Schizosaccharomyces pombe: one gene and its partners. Changing the gene in region 1 together with any one later gene gives a genetic interaction. Each region holds a gene or a part of one and is shown in the gene's direction. Other genes may lie near its edges. The genes, in order: rhp1602, tsp0, meu10 and alg12.

Region 1 (5,274 bases):
GGAATTTTGGAGTATAGAGATAACCTCATCGACGATGTTTTGCAATCCGAGACTTCCGGTAATAAAAGAAAGGAACTCTTGCGCAGATCATGTTTAGCACTTACAAAAAATAAACGGATAGACTCTTATGAACGCGCTCTTTATGGCGCTTTATGTGGAGACTTGAACTCCGTCCTTGATGTGTGCACAACTTGGGAGGATGCGATGTGGGCTTATTATAATAGTATGACTCAGTACAATTTGGATGTTTATCTTTCTTCTAAGGCTCCTCAAACAGAAACACAATTGCCTCCAGTGGATAGTGGTTTAGGCTTAACTCCCGAATTGATTTTTAATTCGCTGAGTAACAGCTCTATTGCTTCAATCCAAGAAGAAGCATCACATCCCCTAATTAAACTTCAAACTCATATCATTTGTAATAAAATTTCGGAAATTTTGAGCTCTGCTCACATACAGTTGGAAGCAATTCGGACTGGAAATGCCCCTGAGTCTGGGGATTTGGTTACACCTCCTCTTCTTCGAATACTGACACACATAATTTTATTTTTGAAGATTTCAGGTCTTGCTGTGGATGAATATACTTCTGACTCTATTATCCAAGCGTATATTGAGTTATTGGCTAGTGCTAAAAAAGTTAACTTGGTTCCATTGTATATTCAGTACCTATCAAATCAAGTGCAGTACGAGGCTTATTCTCGATTCCTTATTCTTGTTGATGAAGAAAGTGCAAGATCAGAACAACTTCAATTAGCAAAAAAATATTCATTAGATATTAATCATGCGGCGTTACTAGCTGTTGAATATGTGTATGATGAAGTTGTCTCTGTTTCTCCCGAAGAAGTTCACACAGTATATTTAAAATCTATTGAGGAGCCAGTTGAACCATCTTATAAAAAGCTCATCTGCACCCTTGAATGGTTATTAATCACTTCACAGACAGATGAGCTGCTCCGATTTGCAAACCTTGTATATCGTTTCTTTTTAAGCATTGGCGAGCTAAATAGTGCATACGATCTTTATACACATATTCCCTCTGATGCTTTGAATACGCTAAGCTCTAGCGATGGTGAACCCGAAAACGATTCTAAGTTTAGAGATGCGTATGAACTGATGAACTATCGAGCTCTCTGCAGAGCACTTAAATTTTATCAAGAATGGGAAGAGCTTTCTAAACAAGAAGTATTTGAAGATTCTGCAGTTACGAAAGCTAGCACTTCTTATAAAGTTTGGAAAAAAAAATTGAATTTTGCCTCTCGTAAATGTGTAAAGTCCTTCACAGACTTACTTCAAGCTAACTGGCTTCACCCGTCTACATTGGAGCTGAAACCAGATGATGATCCTTTGCTTTATAAAACTCTTATGACTATTCGGAATTTGTATGTGCCTGAACTAATTCTCGGTTTGCATAATGTTTATTTTAGCCTTGAGGACTATGATAGCTGTTTTGCTCTGGCTAACGAAGTTGCCAGTGAAGATTTAAAACTTTACCATTGTCTTATTAAAAGTGGCAGACTGGTTGAATATGTTTCTTATTTAGGAAAGGCCGGAGAATGTAGCCTTTCAACCCCTAATGGGCTTTTTTCTTTATAAGTGTCAATGTATAAGAGATTCAATTCGAAAACTAATAGTGATGCTGCAAATGTGGTATCATCTTCGCATTGATAACCAGTTTATCTTAATACGTTGATTTTAAAACTAAGCTGAAAAACTTCCATAACTTTTGACTATTTCTAATATAAATTTTTTTTTCCAAAAAGTTAGACTATGAACTAAATCCAGAATTGCAGACACTTTGTTGCAAACATTCTTATAAAATTGTTTGAAAGTTCGGTTAATTAGGACCATTGCGCAAGTTCTTAAATCCTATAGTCGATTTGAGCAGTCTTTACAAATTTCGACTCGAAAACTGTGTTAGTGGATATATTGTGTAGGGTTTACTTTTATACTCAAAAAAACATTAAAGTAAGCAAATAGAAATATTTGAGTTCTTGACACCAATCTTCACTTAGTAAGAACCCATCGTATACAAGCTATTTCTACTACCACTGAATGTTCACGTTCAGTGCAATTTGCTTGAGGGAGCTTGATGGAAAAAGCGTCTAAAAATAAGGAAAGTGGGGTTAAAAAAGCGAATAACTCTTTTTTACAAAATTTCGGTGTAAATACAGCAGGGAAAGAAAATGAATCTACTTCATTACCAAGGTTGCCCAAAAGCGAAGATGAATCCATCCCAAAACAATCTATAAAATCTAAGAATAAAAAGAAAACCCAACATTTTCTTTCTGATGCTTTTGAAAGCTTAAAGAGACAGGAGATAGATACAAACGAAAAGGAAGTAATCGTCTCCGCGCCTATAACTAGTAAACCAGCTCAGGTTTTTTATAGTAAAAAATTGGAACGTAAGGATGAGGGAATAAGGAAATGGGAGAAAGATCCATTTGCCCCTATCTCAGTAAAATCTGGTGCGTGGAAGAAACCATATACCAAGGTTCCTGAAGTCTCAATAAATAAAGCAACTTCGAAAAGAACGGACTTGATAAATGATAAGCCTATTGTGATTCCAATTCCCAGAGCTTCTACTTCAACGCTATATTTTGGTAAGCACAATAAACCAACTTCTGAAAATAGAAAAGGCCCCATAGGTATACCCACTGAAGAAATCTTAACTTCCCAAAATACTCAAGCAATGCTACATAAACTGTTTGAGAATAATGTGCTGGACAATGTTAAGGACGATTCAATGCAGAGGCAGTCCTCGTTTATTCCTGGCATGCATATACGTCTACTAGATCATCAAGTCCAAGGACTTACTTGGCTCAAATCAAGAGAAACGGTGTCTAAATCTTCGGCTTCCGGCGGAATTCTAGCAGATGATGTAAGTCATGAAAATATTATTTGTTGTTATTCAGTGCTAATAATTTTTTTAGATGGGATTGGGAAAAACTATTCAAATGATCGCTTTAATTCTTTCGCATCCCTTACCAAAGAAGAAGCATTCAATCAAATCCACTTTGGTAGTAGCTCCACTCAGTTTAATTAAACAGTGGGAATCAGAAGTGCAGACGAAAAGCAAGTTGACAGCAATCGTTTATCATGGAGCATCCAGATATAAATTACTTAAAGTAATTCACGAATACGATGTAGTAATAACCACGTATCAAATACTAGTTTCGGAATGGGTGTCTCACAATACTACAGGTACAGACGGCAAATCGCCTACTGAAGCTAAAAGTTATGAAAAGAAAAAGCCAAGCTTGTTTGCCTTCTATTGGTGGAGGATAATACTGGATGAAGCACACACTATAAAAAATAAATCTTCTAAATCAGCTCTTGCCTGTTGCGCATTACAGGGCATCAATCGCTGGTGTCTCACTGGGACACCTTTACAAAACAATGTAGATGAACTTTACTCACTTGTGAAATTTCTTCATATTAATCCATTTAACGACCAATCTGTTTGGAAAGATCAAATTTCTTTACCTTTATGTCAAGGAGAGGAAAACTTGGTTTTTAAAAGACTTCGAATGCTTCTGAGTGTAATCATGTTACGACGAACGAAGACTTTGTTAGAGGCAAACGCGGGCAAAGATGGTACAGGTGGTGCTTTAAAACTTTCAAAGCGTTTGGTGTATAAGGTTATTTGTAAATTTGAAGAAAGTGAACGTGACTTTTACAGTAACTTGGCACGAAACATGGAACGAACGATGTCAAATTTTGTTAATTCGGGGAAATTAGGCAAGAACTATACTAACATACTGTGTCTTCTCTTGCGTCTACGACAGGCTTGCAATCATCCTCAGTCTTTAAATTTTCAATTTGAACAAGACGTTGATGCATTTAATGCGTTGGATGGGGCAGCAAACACGAACAAATTAGCTTCCGATCAAGATGTTGATGATTTGGCAAACCTATTAGAAACAGTTGAAATAGGAAGCCGTAAAAAGTCTTTTTGTACAATTTGTATGGCCGAGCTTCCTCCCGATTTTCATGAAAAAAAATGCAAAGATTGTTCTCGAAATTTTAAAGAATTGGATAAAGGAATTCAAGACCCTAATGATAAGACGCTATACAAGTCATCCAAAATTAGGGAAATCCTCAAAATTTTATCTCTAGATGAACAAGAAGAGGATGATACAGTTCGGGGGTTACGAAAAACAATAATTTTTTCTCAATTTACCACTTTTTTGGATATCATTGACTTACATTTGAGGAAAGCCGGTATAGGTTTTGTTCGGTATGACGGTCGCATGAACAATCGTGCTAGAGAAAAATCTTTGGACCTCCTTCGCTCTGATAGTGGAACTCAAGTACTATTATGCTCTTTAAAGTGCGGTGCTCTTGGTTTAAATTTAACATGTGCAAGTCGTGTAATACTTTGCGATGTTTGGTGGAACCCTGCAATTGAAGAACAAGCTATCGATAGAGTACATCGTATTGGACAAAGACGTGATGTACTTGTTTATAAGCTAGTGGTTGAAAATACAATTGAAGAAAAAATTGTCGAACTTCAGAATCTTAAACGAGACCTTGCCAAGCAGGCTCTCGGAGATGGCAAAAAGTCGGTTTTTACCTCCAAAAAATTAACACTTAATGATCTTTTGTTTCTATTTAACAAGCGTGCCGCGGCTTAAAAATCAGAAGGTGATAAAGGACCTAGCTTTTGAACTAAATTTTTGGTACGTGAATCGTTGTATGACTTTAGACGACTGTTTAATGAATAATATCTACTATTACATATGTTATTAAAAATATTAGAAAATATCATTTAGTCAAATGATTAAGTAAAAGTAAAATACTGAAGGAATGCACCTGGATGTAAATCTATATAAGGTAGATATTTGCCGAATGATACACCATTCGTAAAACATTGTAATCTGAAAAGAAAGCAATTTAGTAACTACCAATCCATGTTTTATAGACACTCATAAGACTCGTGGTAATACCAGCAGCAGCCACGAATCCGTCATTAACCTTAAGGATATCCAGTTCGGCAAGAGGAATTGTAGCGTCCAAAGCGTTTTGCAAAGCAAAGAACAAAATTTCCTTACGCTCTCTGCACAAATGTGGTTAGATATGAAAAATATGCATAAAAAGAAACTTACTTTTGCAAAGTCTGCAAACTGGTCGAATCTTTCTCAGATGCTTCTTGCGTTGCACTCTTGATCTTCTTCGAGTTTTGCTGTAGCTCATAGCATCCAGCTAAACAGGAAGAAAGCAGAGCGACAGCAAGACATTGCTTTCCAATCGTAGAAATCTGCTTTGAATGGGAGCAAG
Region 2 (4,177 bases), 790 kb from region 1:
CTCACTGACCAGTTGATTATTGAGTGTCTCGTAGACCTCCTTCGCCATGGCTGCTTCTTTCTCGGTACGGGGAAGCTTAGTAGTGTCGTTGGAAGGCTTGTCGACCAGTTTTTGAACCTTAGCCCTCATAGCATCATGATCAAGTAATTTGTGATTACGCTTCGTGATAGCGGCATTAATATCGGGAAAGTAACTGCAGAACCTTGAGATGGGATCCAACACCGTTGTCCGGAAAGGACCGTCCAACTCTTTTACGGTATCGGCGTCCAAGTCTTCGACGACTTGTCGATAGTATGCACTGACACCATCCTTCGATCCAGCATCACCGTAAAATGCATCGATTGTGTTAGCGATTCTAGTTTGAGACGCAGTCATGGCTCTCAAAGCATCGAGATAACCTTTGGCTTCTTTTTGAAGCTTCTTTGCAGCTGATTCCATAGTTCTATAACGTCTTTCCTCTGTTTCAAATTCCCGATCCACCGTTCGCTCAACATGACCCGTCTTCATCATAACCTACCACAATGTTAGACAATTCTTCAACACTCAAATACATACCGAGGTACCCGCTCGGTTAACGGCCTTTTTGAATCCATGCCAACTCATTTTTGTGATATGGAAAAGAGAAGCGTCGGCATACCCAGATATCTTATGTCAGTTGATCGCTGCGCTAATGTTCGCTAGCTAAGCTGCATTGGATCTTTTAGTGGATTCAGCAGGATTCGCGTAGGGAACAATTCACGGAAGCAAAGCCATAACGTAAAGCCTGATTGCGAAGTTTATCATTGCGTTAAATAGAATAATGATAGTTTATTTCACAATGCAATTATAAAAAGATAAGGATGAAAAGCGTGTCGTTAATTTTGTGTTTAATTGATAGAGCAAGAGCATAATGGTGGTAAATTTGGGTTTCGAGGGTTGGCTTACTTTCATGTCACTATCAATAAATTACATCGCTTAAAAAATATATCTAAATTTTTCTTGTATAATCATCTGTAGTAAATCTCTGACTGCAATTAGAGGTCTATCCTCAGATAATTCTTGTTCACTAACTGCATCCAGCAGAAATCGCCTTATAAGGTAATATAGTTATGTTATAGTTTAATATAATATATCAATGTAAACATTTTAACTTGACAATATAGAGGTAATATCGTTTGCTCATAAATGGAAGATATTGTGGAGAAGCAATTTGAAATACGGACATTTTACCAACTTATAAATTTCATTAGAAGTGGTGGAATAAATGGTTTTGCATTATATGGATATAATGTTTTGAGGCTTCGACATGGAAAGACACGATTGCTACTTATCAATATATGAGATCATTCATGATAAAACTATAAAGAAAACGCTTTTCAGCGACATTTGAGCTAAAAAAACCCGGTCTCATAGTTTGCATCCTTACTCAAAAAGTGAAGAACTTAAGTTGTAGTAGTGGTGCATTACTTTGAGAGCTATTGTATAGCGATATTAGATATTGAAACAAGAACTCAGCCATTCAATGACAGTTTGTTTGTTCTGTGGGCAGTAAGACATCCAGATAATGCCCAAGAGAAAGATTCTTCTGAAAGTAAGAAACAAAAGCACCGAAATAAACCTTTCTTCTCTCTTTGTTGTCTTATCTAATTTTATAACTAAATTTGCCCATAAATCTCATCTGTGTGATGATAATTAACCGCATTTGACCAGCCCAAATATATTCTATTACAGAAAACAAGCGCTGCTACTAATAGATATACATAATTTTATAATATAATATTAATAATATAAAAAATTTAGTTGTACTGAAAATATTATCTTATGGAAAACTCCTTATAAACACTTTTTAGCGAGACACATCTACCACCACCTTACGCAGTATGAACACGTATTATACCCCAATACCTCGCTCCTCCTTCCCTTCTGTGACGTAATAGACGAGGTTATAAATATGGTGAATTATACATTCGAGTAGCTTCCAAGATCAAACTACAATTAAGTATTTCCTTTTATTTTAGTTTAGTATCGTATTTCTCTCATATCGATACTGTGCCCGTTTTTAAAATGTATGGAAGATTGAAAGATGGTTAAGCTTTATGGTCCAATTTTACTAATCTTCAATTCAATTAGAAGTTTCAACAACTCTTCTCCAAATTTCTAGTTTAATGTATGTCAGTTTTAATTATCAAACTTAACTCTAGCTACTCCATGTCTATTTGCTTAGCATGGTTTGAAAGACCTTTTGTATCTCGACATTATCTCTGCTGTTTGTAAACGAGCTGCATTAAGATTCGAAATACTTATGGTTTTTTAGTAGCAGTCGTTGTTAGTACTCTTTACATTCGTGGAATTTTTTTTTCCCGATTTCGCTAATCAACAGTAAACGATATTATTAAGTGTGATGGATTTGAACTATCAAGTATTCACTAGCATCTCCAAAAATTGGTGGTCCGCTTCTCTCGTTCCAGTCGCCTGCGGCTGGTTCATTGGGAATTCCTACAAGCCAAGAAAGGATTATGAGAACAAAAAGCAACCAAAGTTCCACCCCCCTGCATCTGCCTTTGGACCAGCATGGACACTACTATACCTAACAATGGGATATGCATCCCATTTGGCGTACAAGGCTGACCCTTTGATGATTACGAATGCCTCTCGAAATGGATCCATTTTATACATTGCACAGTTGGCCGCTAACTTTGCTTGGATGCCCTTGTTCTACGGATTAGCAAAACCAAAATTGGCTCTTGCCGATCTCGGCATTTTGACGGGACTTGTTGGTTGGCTTGCAAAGACATGGTGGCCTCTTGCACCAACGGCTTCCAAATGGTTAATTCCTTATTTAGCCTGGTTGGGATACGCTGGCTACTTGGTAAGTAATGTCACTAATTAAGGTTGATGTAGATCAAGAGAGTCAAAAGCATGACATGAGACAGTAGAATGTATTGTTGCATTTAAGAAAGAGCTTAAGCTGCACGATCAAAGTTTGAAAGAAACAGAAAAAAAAACACTAAAAAAACAATAACAGAAGAATCAGGTCGGAGAAAAAATATTATTGGAATAAGAAAAAGACAGCAGGAGGGATATGAGTTAAATAAAAAAAAAAAATTGGGCAGAACGAAAAAAGTCAAAACAAATTGATGGATAATAAATCGGTGACTAAAAAAATAATGAGTATAATATGATATGCAAAAAGGCCATGACTGAGTGATTTCGACTTGTTTCTTTCTCAAAAAATCACCAACAACATTGCAGTCCTAAATTGAACTTTGTCGGTAGGTCGACAACCTATACACAGTCTTGTGATTGTTTTGTATCTCTCTCAGCCTTAATTAGTTGACTACTTCATGGTTCCTGAAGAACCGTGTGAGGGATATGTTTGCTGACCAATTATCATAGAATCTTGGGTATTGCCTGTTAAATTAAGAGGATCGATATCGCTCGCTGGTAGTACAGGGAGACCTGTGGCTGTAGGATCATTGACATCAAGGTGATCAATCGAATCCATTGGATTGTGTGGTATAAAAGCTGCACCTGCAGACACGCTATCATCGTGATACACATCCAGACCAGGAAAAGCACTATGCTCATTTCCAGCTAGTGTAGATGAATAATCATTAGTACCTTTATGAAATGACCCTGGATGAGCAGCTGACGAAGTAGTAGTAGTAGTAGAGTTGTTGCCATTGGTAGAAGCTGTAGCAAAACTGCCTAGTTGAGAACCACTGGACATAAGATTCGATGTGTTTGAGTCGGTCTGTGGGAGCACTGTCATATCATGAGGCACTGGCCCCGAGGTGGAAGCGGTATTAGTGGGCCCACCCGACATGGCAATATTACCACTCATGTCTAGCTCGCCTCTGACATTTGGAGAAGTAATGTTGTTTCCAGAAGTATTGTTAGCAGGAGACATAGATGCTGTGGCAGAATTGATAGGAGCTGGAGACTCAGACGAGTTGGAGATAGAGCTAGGTCTTGAATCATTGCTATCCGCATATCCTTCAGACGTGTGAGTCACTTCAGAAGAAACGGTTGCAGGCACGGTGGCATCATTGGCATTTGTGGCATTAACATCGTCTCCTGTACTTCCTCCATTAGCAGCTGCCTCTGCAGCTTCCTGCGCTCTCAATTTTGATACTTTGTCAGCAGTCAAGAATCGGCCACCAGGACCACGAGGTCGTCGCATAGCATGCTTATGCCT
Region 3 (5,553 bases), on another chromosome or scaffold:
CTCCATAGATGCGAACGGGTTCCTGTAAAGAGGTGGATTTGGCGAGTGAATACAATTGTGGAGACTCTAAATTAGCATTGATGGATCCTATTGCTGTAGCGACTCTTCTTATGTTCCTAGTTGAATCATAAAACTCCTGTGTTTTAATATCTTCGGAAGAAGGACGTTTCTGAACGTTTGGGGACATAGAATTTGACGAAGGTGAAAAGGATGCAATCTATTATATCCGTTTGGAAATTTTAAAACTTTTAAAACAAGCCTTTCACCTCTACAGCTGAATTTAAGAGATCCGTGGACGTTAAGTTTAAAAGTTCATGTACGCGCAATGTCTGGTATTTGATGAGCTGAGATCACTTAACTTTCCCTCAACATTAATTGCAACGAACAGGATGACCTATCAAGGGTAAAAAGTAAACTATTTAGCTAGCGTAAAGGTTGTTACAAAAGTGTTGTGTTTTCGTACAAAGTCAGGAACCAAATTTCTTAAGTCAATTCATTAATTTTTGTAGCAGTCCTAATCTTCCTTTTTTTTCTTTTTATTATTTACATGATTCCCTAATTCGGAGAAGTAAAATGTTAATCCGGTATTACTTGGATATACAGCCTTACGACGTTACCGAAAAATCGTTAAACAACATGTACTTTGGTTTTTCCGATTTTGCCTATAGCACGAATTGAGTGTGATATTAACGGGAATACCACTGAAAATAGAACGGCCAACAACTGTGACTTCGCAAAATTTTAACTGTTGGATGTCCAAATGGTGCAGAATGTTTTCATACCAACCACGCACGTCCACTTAGTATTCCCAGGATGGTAAATTGAAAAAATAAAATGCACGATAGGATAGGTAAGCCTCTTAGCAAGACCGAAGATTTGGCTTCCGTTGGTGACATTCGAGACTCACTTTGAATATTAAGCAGATGAAGTTTTGCCGCTTCTTAAATTCCTGATAGCAATTACGTACAAATTTTTTTGCTTGTCGGCGCCTTTTTAGGTCCGTTGTCGGTTGACACCTCAACGATGCCAATTCTCGACTTTTGAGCTTGCGAAGGAGATAAAAATGTTTTAAATGAAAAGGTTAAAAAAAAGGTTTAAGATTTTAAAAAATTTAAAGCAAGCAGTTTTCGGGAATCAAAATAATGTATGATGAGGATTTGCAGCGAATCCTAGATCCAACGGATGAGTCCTATTGATTAGTCAGTTATAATAATCCAAAGTAAGTTTTTCCAGTTATGTTCAACTTGTGCAGTTTTACGTTGACATAGCAAATGTTGGTAATCAACGAAGTAAACACTCTCAACATTCAACCAGTCAAGTTGAGCATTGTAAAATAGAGACAATCCGTGGGTCACTTATGATCAACTTTCCTCCGCAACGGACGCTATACCCCTCAATGGGATAATGTTACCTCGTGTAGAGAAAAACAATGAAAAAGTCGATCGCATGACGTTGCTGACATTGTTTACTAACATTGCAAAGTAAATAAATAAGTAAACAATTATACCAAGTAGGTTTGTTTACATTATGAAAAAAAAAAATTTTAAAGAGTTGCGTTGATTACTTTCTTGGTATTTACTCTCGTTATTTTTCGCTGTTCATTTGTGTTTGTTATTGTTGAAAGTTGTTGTTGATGGTAGGTGTGGTGCAGGCTCAAGGCCGTATTTATAAATGAATTAACGAATGTGTGAACCGCATATAGTCCATTAACATACATTCAACTTATTACTTAAGATGTTTTTAGTAATTGGGGTGTATAAACCTGAGTAACTTTTACCATATTAAGATGAGTTGGGCGGTTTCGAAATCTATAAAAGGGCATGCCAGTGAGTAAACTACCTGGAAATAACCGCTACATTTTTATTCCTTTTAACAAAAATCGTATAAATAATCCATTACGAAGAAAGACTTCGCTCTGTCCTCTTTTCTTACCCAGCATATATATACATAAACTTTTGTTATATTAGCATTCGTTTAAGGCACTTTTTCTTGTCCAAACTTTAATCAACAAGGAAATCATAAACAATTAAAGGTTCATCATTTCCAAACCCTACAAAGACCCGAATTCATTCTTCAGTATTCATAATTTCATTTCCAATCCCTTCCTGCTACGACAAAAATTTTGGTCGTACTTGATAGATTTTATTGCTTTTATTATCCCTAACAACTTTTCCCTCCTTTATATTCATTCTTCATTTATCATAAAATGCGCTTGTCTTCACGCTTTTATTTGTTTACCAGTTTCACTGCGTGGAGCGTAGTGATCGCTGGTGCAACCCCAGCGGTTTGTGGTGCCCCCGAGTACATTATTGAGACACAGAATGACTTGGACGTTTTAAGCAACTGTCAGGTTGTGAATGGCTCTATCATCATGAACACTAGCTCAGCTACTTCTTTGAATTTCAATAGAATAGAGACCATTACCGGTGATCTCATCATTCGTAATAACAACTACCTTGCATCGGTAGCCCTGACATCCATTTCCAGTGTGGGTGGAGAATTACGGTTTGAAAAACTCACACGACTCGCTAGTGTTTACGCACCTCAACTGGCAAATGTTGGCCAATTAACGATGCGTATCTTGCCAAATCTTCAAGGGATTCGATTCGATAAGGGGATCAAAAAGGCCCATAAGCTCACCATCGAGGATACCCAACTCTCCACACTTGCAGGTATTTCTTTGAATACTACGGATACGATGGTAATTGTTAACAACAATTATTTGCGAGAAGTTGATATGCCCTATTTGGAAAGTGTGGAGTCGAAGTTTTACGTCTCTTACAATGCCAGGGAGATCAGTGTTACCCTTCCTAGACTTAAAACCGTGGGTGACATGACGATTCAACGCGTAGCTCACTTACAACTTTCGAATTTAGAAGAGGTCAAAGGATTTTTAGGCTTCCTCAACAGCACGTTGCAGGATATATCATGCCCAAACATTACACGAATTGGACAGTCTCTTTTCTTTATAGGCAATCAGGAATTGACTTCGCTAAATTTCAAGCAACTTGAGAGCATTGGAGGTACTTTTATGATTGCCAACAGTGCAGCATTGGCACAAATCAAAGGATATGATAAATTGAAGACCGTAGCAGGATCCATCGACTTTACCGGTAACTTTAGCAGCGTTGAACTTCCCAAGTTACGAGATGTTAAAGGAGGTTTGAACATACAAACTACATCGAGCGACTTTACTTGTCCCTTCCGCCAGAGCGACGGGATCATCAAGGGCAAATCGTTTGTTTGCCGAGGATCGGTTGACAATCCCAGACAAAGCAAGGAGTCTTCTTTCGATGATGACGATTTTGATGAACTGTTAGGAAATGGAACAATTAAAGGCTCTAAGAACAGTACATCACCGGTCAAACAAAGTGGTGCCGCTAAGGTAGATAGCCGACCTTTCCGTCTTGTTACCTTTTTCCTTGTCTTAGTAAGTGGCTTTGCGCACTTGCTTTAAAGCCAAGAGAGACAAAGTTGACAATGTAAACGCAAGTTCATTTGCAAGATCGAAATCTACCCTTCAAAGCCATGCCGTCTATGATTAACCTGTTTCTATTTAAAAAGTAAATAAATGCTTTCAAAATAATTAGAAGGAAGATTTTCAACCAACAAGGATTACAAAAAAAAACGGCGATAAGTTTCGTTGCTTCATTTTGGATCACTTTACTATTTGCTGTTCCTTAATGGACACAGTGAAATGACGAGAAACCGGTTTTCAGTTGTTTTGTTGTGAGTATGGATAGTGAACACTTTTTCTTACCAATGGTTGGCTTTTCCTCGGTTTATTTATTTATTTTTTAGTACGGTTAGGAGAATGAAAAAAAAAAAGTATTTTTAGTGACTCCAGGTTCTATTGGCTTCTTATTTTTAAAACAAAAATATTCATCATTATTCTTACTATCACAAAACTACCAGTTATTATGTTTGTCTATCGATAACAGCACGCTACTTTTCTAGATGAATCATTTGTTTGTCTTGTTGTAGAGTAAAAGGCAATTTTTTACTAACAGTTAAACCCGCGCGTAGATGGTACTAATTTTATGCCATGAAACATATGATTTAAGTGGGATAAAAACGGAAGTACGAGAGCTGAACAATTTATCTGACAGGCATCCAAATGAATTAATATATAAACCAAGGAATGTGAAATTACATGAGTGAGTCAAGCATGCCTTTCGTCGTTTGTTTAGTCAACTAACAATTAGTGGTATTCAGAATGCAAAAAATATTTTTCTTTGTGTTGCCTCGGGTGTTTCAAGCCTTATCCATCCGAGGCACTCGTGCCTGTAAAAAATTGCAATCGGATAGAAGGAAGGTAAGGAAAGTGGATGAAATTTTTACGCGAATGCGGAGGAAGGCAAAATTTCTTGAAACAAAGTTGGTCGAACCTTGTTAAGTAGTAGAGAGTGTATATGAAGTATGGAAAAGAAAGAGAGAAAGGATGACTTCTCAACGAAAGATGAATTTGGCAATCACAAATGTTTCATATTTGGTTGTCAAGTTTAAACGACTTGCAACCGAGCCGATCACTGAAACAATTTCCAATGATCATAACTAAACGATCCTACTACTTACTGATTTGACGTAATTTGTCCTTTTGTTAATTTTTGGACGGTTTGGATCAAACATTTGAAGTTGCAAATATGATAAACTTACTGCTTGATTAAAAAAAAATAAATAAAATAAAAAAATTAATGATAGAACAACAATGATAAGAGAGCATCATTCATTATGAATGAGAATGTGTTTCATTGAAGCAATAGTTTTTGTGAACATACAAGGAGTGTTGTGATGAAAGAAAATGCAATTTGCCTTTCCAGTTTCTGATACTTCGTAAAGATGATGCTTTTTGGCTTTTGCTTTGTTTAAGGGTAACAAACTTGTGAATTGCCCAAAGCAGAGATGAATAATTTGAAATGAGTTTGCTACGAATTATCTGTATTTATGAATTAATGAAGGATGGATCTAAACCATTTAACAGGTGTAAATAAAAGCTTCATAGATTCTGTATAGTGATTAACAGTTTTTTGGAAAAATAATTTAAAAAAAAATTAATAATAATAATAATAATTTGGAAAAATAATGTTAGAATAACATACCAAAAATACCAGTATATTCAGACAATATGTTTTAAAACTTAAAAATGATTGTAGAGCAATGATTTTAATTATAGCTACGATTAGAAATGTTAAATGTTATTATAGTGTTAGTTTTGCGTTCGATTTAATTTTTGGTACACACGGGATATAACAGTTTGATTAAGCATTACCAATAGAGCAATGCAAGTTAAGAGGTTGTTTAAGCATGTTGTTGTCTAAGAGACTCACAAAAAGGTAGGTAAATGGATTTATTGCTAAACGGAAAATATTGATTTGAAAATTAAATTTTGGTCGTACATACTTTATTCGTAACAGATTTCATCAAAATTTTCACCTACAAAACATTGGAACTCAAAGTGTGACTGAATTCACAATAAGTAAATAATTACACTTCATAGCATACGATCCATTATTTTTTTATAGGTAAGGAATTTATTAAACTTTCCTTGATACC
Region 4 (4,408 bases), 650 kb from region 1:
TTACAAAAACCTCTTCAACATTCTCTACATGAAAAATACTTACGATAAAAAGATGGACGTAAATTTATTAAGAACAAAAGGTAAGCTTAATCTGAACGTTTTCAATGAATTACGGTTCAAATGGTATAAAGGTAAAAAGTTAAGCTAAATAGACAAGAAATATCGTTGACTTCAGCGCTTATATTTCACAAACTTCTTTAATTTAAAAATCTTAACATGCATTTGAACCTTACCAAAGAGATCAAGAATTAAGCCAAAGAGTTTGCACCAGTAACGATATCGATAAGTTCGTTAGTAATGGAGGCTTGACGTTGACGATTATATTGGATGGAAAACTTGTTAATCATATCTCCAGCACTCTTGCTTGCATTTTCCATGGCGTTACGACGAGATGACATTTCACTGCAATGAGCTTCCGCCATGGCAGAAAAAATAGCATTGGCAAATGCAAATTCCATGAGTGGTTGATGGACTTCATCACTTACCTCGTATGCAGAGAGATTGGGGGATTCATTGATGGCCTTAGTTGTATACAAGTTCTTCATCACAGTTTCAAACGAGACAGCGGAAGCAAACTTGTTATAGACGAGAACAATTCTATCATAGTCTTTAGCATGTTCCAAAATGTTACTAGAAATTTGTAAAGCTTCTTCAAAAGAAGGACTAGCTCCACCAATGTGTGCAAAAGTCAAGTAGAAAGATTCGGGACAGAAACGAAGTAATTGAGTGCGAACTTTTTCTCCCAAAATACACAAACTTGTGTTCTCAAATGTCTTAGGATCATGTAGTTCTCTACGGATAAGACGAGAGATTGAAGAATGAATACCACCACAAAGACCCTTGTCACTAGAGCAAGCAACCATAAGAGTTTTACCCTCCTCAGGTGCTTTAGTTCCAGCCTCCTTAAACACTTCATCAGATACACGATAGTATTTGTTAGAAGCTTCCATAGCACGTTGAGCCCTAGTAAGCTTAGTTTGAGCTACAGTTTTGATGGTCTTGGTAATCTTTTCAATGTTCTTAATAGACTTCAGCCTTTGTTCAATCTCTTTTAGCGTTGCCTCACAAGGAGAACTATAAAAAATCGTTAGAAAAAATGCATTCAACTTCGAATATGTTTGTGAATCACAAAAAGTAAACCTAAACAACATACCTAGCGTGAAAACCCCGAAATCCAACTACAGATATACAAGGACGCATCCGAGACGCCTGAGTTAGCGTTTGACGAAGCATAATGTTCAATTGACGTTAGCTTTTATTGATTCCTGTTTCGTAATGATATGGGGGGAGGTTTGGTGTATACCCGTGGTAAAGCATGCTATTGGAACCGACGAATCTATCGTTCTATAGACCGTACTAGCAACGATTTTCAGGAACGATAAGAAGAAAAATTAGTTTAAATAATAAATGAAATGCAATTATATCTCTCACCTTAATTATAATAGCACGTTTTCTATAATGAATATTCCTCCAAAACGCTATACGTTAAACTACCATGGTAAATCAGTTAACGAGGATCGTTGTATTCTTTCAAAGTTTCCCTAAACAGAAGGAATAATTAAATTTTGATGAAAGATGTGAATTTCGTTTTGCAAATAGTAGAGGTAATTAAAATTTAACATATAAAATGTTCGATTAAAAGAGGAGAAGCAGATACTTAACGTACACAAAGATGCAAAGTTAGAAGACAGTGCAGCGAACAACCCTTGTTTATAACAAATAAATCATTACCTTGAATCTCCTTAAACTAGATTTAGCAAAATTAATCGTTGCTTTATTTACGTATATTCATTCACCTTTGCTCTTTCTCCAATAACTATTTGTATGCTTTCAATAAATGATGAAGCGGGATGACTTCTAAAGAGAGCATTTGTTGGTATTTGGCAAATATTTTGCTTGTGACATGCATAGGGTATTATTCGTACAAAACTCCGTTTACAAAGGTAGAAGAGTCGTTTGCTATGCAAGCGATTCATGACATTCAGACGTATCGTTGGGATTTGTCAAAGGTAGTAGTTGATAATTATTTCCTTATTTAAATTACTCACATATTTTAGTATGATCATCTGGAGTTTCCAGGAGCCGTTAAACGGAGTTTCATACCGAGTTTGTTTATAGCAGTTTTGTCCTATATACCTTCTTGGTTTGTTAATCCATTACTTGCCGCTAGATGGACAATTGGGTATTTAAGTTGGGAGAGTATGAATTCTGTAAGCTGCTCCATTAGCAAACGATTCGGCACATTGTCTGGAGCACTGTTTATACTGTTTAGCTGCGCTCAATTTCACCTCGTGTACTATATGTCCAGACCATTGTCAAATATTTTCGGACTAATAGCTACGAACCACTCTCTTTCTTTGTTACTTAAAAATAATTATTACGGCTCTATCAGTATTTTAGTTTTTGCCGCAGCGATTGTTAGGTCCGAAATAGCTTTACTTCTAATGTGTTTGATTCTACCATTATTGCTTCAGAGGAGGATTACTTTATCAAAATTGCTACTCGTTGGTATTTCTTCTTCATTAGCAGCAGTGGGAGCTTCTTTTCTCATTGATTCCTATTTCTGGGGGGCTTGGTGTTGGCCTGAATTAGAAGCTTTCTTATTCAATGTTGTTGAAGGGAAATCTTCAGATTGGGGAACAAGCCCTTTTTACTACTACTTTGTGAGACTTCCTTGGCTATTTCTCAATCCCACGACATTGCTCTTCCTTTTAATCAGCTTTGTTTACATCAAGCCTGCTCGTCTTTTAATATATGTTCCCCTTTTCTTTATATTTGTTTATTCATTTTTAGGCCATAAAGAATGGCGCTTTATTATCTATTCGATCCCTTGGTTTAACGCAGCTAGTGCAATTGGGGCTTCCTTATGCTTTAATGCCAGTAAATTTGGCAAGAAAATATTTGAAATTCTAAGGTTAATGTTTTTTTCGGGGATAATCTTCGGGTTTATTGGAAGCAGTTTTTTGTTATATGTTTTTCAATACGCTTACCCTGGTGGTCTAGCATTAACTCGTTTATATGAAATTGAAAATCATCCCCAAGGTAAGTTCAACTTTTTCACCAATTAGATTATTCTAACGTACTTAGTTTCTGTACACATGGATGTATATCCGTGTATGACAGGTATAACTCGATTTTCACAGCTTCCATCGTGGTACTATGACAAAACTGAGGATCCTAAAATGCTTTCAAATTCTTTATTTATTTCCCAATTCGACTATTTAATCACCGAAGATCCCGAATCATATAATGATACTTTTGATGTTATAGAATCCGTTAATTCCAACACGAAAATTCCCATCCTTCCAAAATGGTTAAGTAATCACATACCGCGAGAAATCTCCATAAGAAATCCAGCACAGCCCGTTTACATCTTGGCAAACAAAAAAGCACGAGCAACTAAACCTGCCGCAGTTGATGACTACTCTTCATTCATCGGACATAAAGTTGACGAGATTAAACTTTGGCCTCCTATTTATAGGGTGGTATCTCCTGACACATTGTTGACAAGAGATTACCGGGAAGACCGTCTGAACTTTTTTATTGACAAAGATCGGATTCTAACGCATATCACCCAGGGATGATAGTTTAGTAAGAAAACGAGAGTAAAATTTTTTCAAGGTATATTCTTCAAGTTTTACGATTTTGTATTTACAGTTACAATTTAGTAGCATCCCCCACTTGAATTGTATTGCAACGATAAGTAGAGTGAATAAACATAATTTTAGTTCGCAGACAATTCAAAGTGCAGAAGCGCATCAAAAATTATTTACTACTTTTTCCAAAAGCCGTAATTGTAATTGTCTCACAAATACTAAAATTTTACAAACAAAGCAAGCAAGATCTAATTTATGTATTCATATTTATAAATCGACTTTTTGCAGTCATTATATTTATTGAAGCAGCGTATTAACGAAGTATAAAGACCAAGATAAGAACCGAGAGAATAACTATCAAAGGCAAGTATGTTAGATATGCCGAAGCTAGATATCAAACATCTTTATGAGATAAAAGAAAACTAACACCAAATGAGGGGAATGAGTTTACAGGATGAAAAAAAGGAACAAGAGAATAAGGTATACATGCAATAGCAACTCGAAACCTAAGGAAAAGATTAGGAACATCTGAAAACAAATAATTGTCTAGGCTCTTCTTAAAAGGATAACGAATCCAAATGCTGTCAATTTTGAAAAAATGAATGAAAAGAAATTCAGAATAAGACAGGTTTACTGTTGAGCACATTGAACACCGGGGTGTCCACCTTCTTCATCTTCATCTTCATCCATCGAAGTGGCAGTAGTGGGGTCCACGTTATTGTCAATGCGAACCTTCTCAGTAGGATCGACAGTTGCCAAAACACATTCCTCAGTGTGAGCATTTTTGGGAGCGCTCTCAATCTTACGGGGAG

The links.
Region 2: mutations in rhp1602 (region 1) and tsp0 together harm fitness less than expected from each alone (positive genetic interaction), as found in Schizosaccharomyces pombe (one large-scale study listed by BioGRID).
Region 3: mutations in rhp1602 (region 1) and meu10 together harm fitness less than expected from each alone (positive genetic interaction), as found in Schizosaccharomyces pombe (one large-scale study listed by BioGRID).
Region 4: mutations in rhp1602 (region 1) and alg12 together harm fitness more than expected from each alone (negative genetic interaction), as found in Schizosaccharomyces pombe (one large-scale study listed by BioGRID).

What each region holds. Positions count from the first base shown.
Region 1 is NC_003423.3:435,590-440,863, reverse strand, and holds rhp1602 (DNA translocase Rhp16b), read left to right. Parts: upstream 1-2,055; 5' UTR 2,056-2,086; coding exon 2,087-2,875; exon of another isoform or gene 2,876-2,927; coding exon 2,928-4,631; 3' UTR 4,632-4,774; downstream 4,775-5,274. Other genes in the region: nucleoporin Nup107, read left to right, coding at 1-1,590; peroxin pex11, read right to left, coding at 4,891-5,053, 5,103-5,274.
Region 2 is NC_003423.3:1,222,594-1,226,770, forward strand, and holds tsp0 (tspO-like protein), read left to right. Parts: upstream 1-1,958; 5' UTR 1,959-2,045; exon of another isoform or gene 2,046-2,109; 5' UTR 2,110-2,146; exon of another isoform or gene 2,147-2,306; intron 2,307-2,349; exon of another isoform or gene 2,350-2,359; 5' UTR 2,360-2,380; coding exon 2,381-2,848; exon of another isoform or gene 2,849-3,316; coding exon of another isoform or gene 3,317-3,375; coding exon 3,376-3,402; downstream 3,403-4,177. Other genes in the region: BAR adaptor protein Hob3, read right to left, coding at 1-513, 556-603; CCAAT-binding factor complex subunit Php2, read right to left, coding at 3,317-4,177.
Region 3 is NC_003421.2:1,866,384-1,871,936, reverse strand, and holds meu10 (GPI-anchored protein Meu10), read left to right. Parts: upstream 1-1,841; 5' UTR 1,842-2,206; coding exon 2,207-3,457; 3' UTR 3,458-4,157; exon of another isoform or gene 4,158-4,215; 3' UTR 4,216-5,021; downstream 5,022-5,553. Other genes in the region: DNA-binding transcription factor, CBF1/Su(H)/LAG-1 family Cbf12, read right to left, coding at 1-187.
Region 4 is NC_003423.3:1,082,761-1,087,168, reverse strand, and holds alg12 (dolichyl-P-Man:Man(7)GlcNAc(2)-PP-dolichyl-alpha-1,6-mannosyltransferase), read left to right. Parts: upstream 1-1,814; 5' UTR 1,815-1,850; coding exon 1,851-2,009; exon of another isoform or gene 2,010-2,057; coding exon 2,058-3,042; intron 3,043-3,087; coding exon 3,088-3,584; 3' UTR 3,585-3,853; downstream 3,854-4,408. Other genes in the region: F1-ATPase gamma subunit atp3, read right to left, coding at 249-1,074, 1,154-1,233; DNAJ domain-containing protein Mas5, read right to left, coding at 4,227-4,408. UniProt on the Schizosaccharomyces pombe protein: Mannosyltransferase that operates in the biosynthetic pathway of dolichol-linked oligosaccharides, the glycan precursors employed in protein asparagine (N)-glycosylation.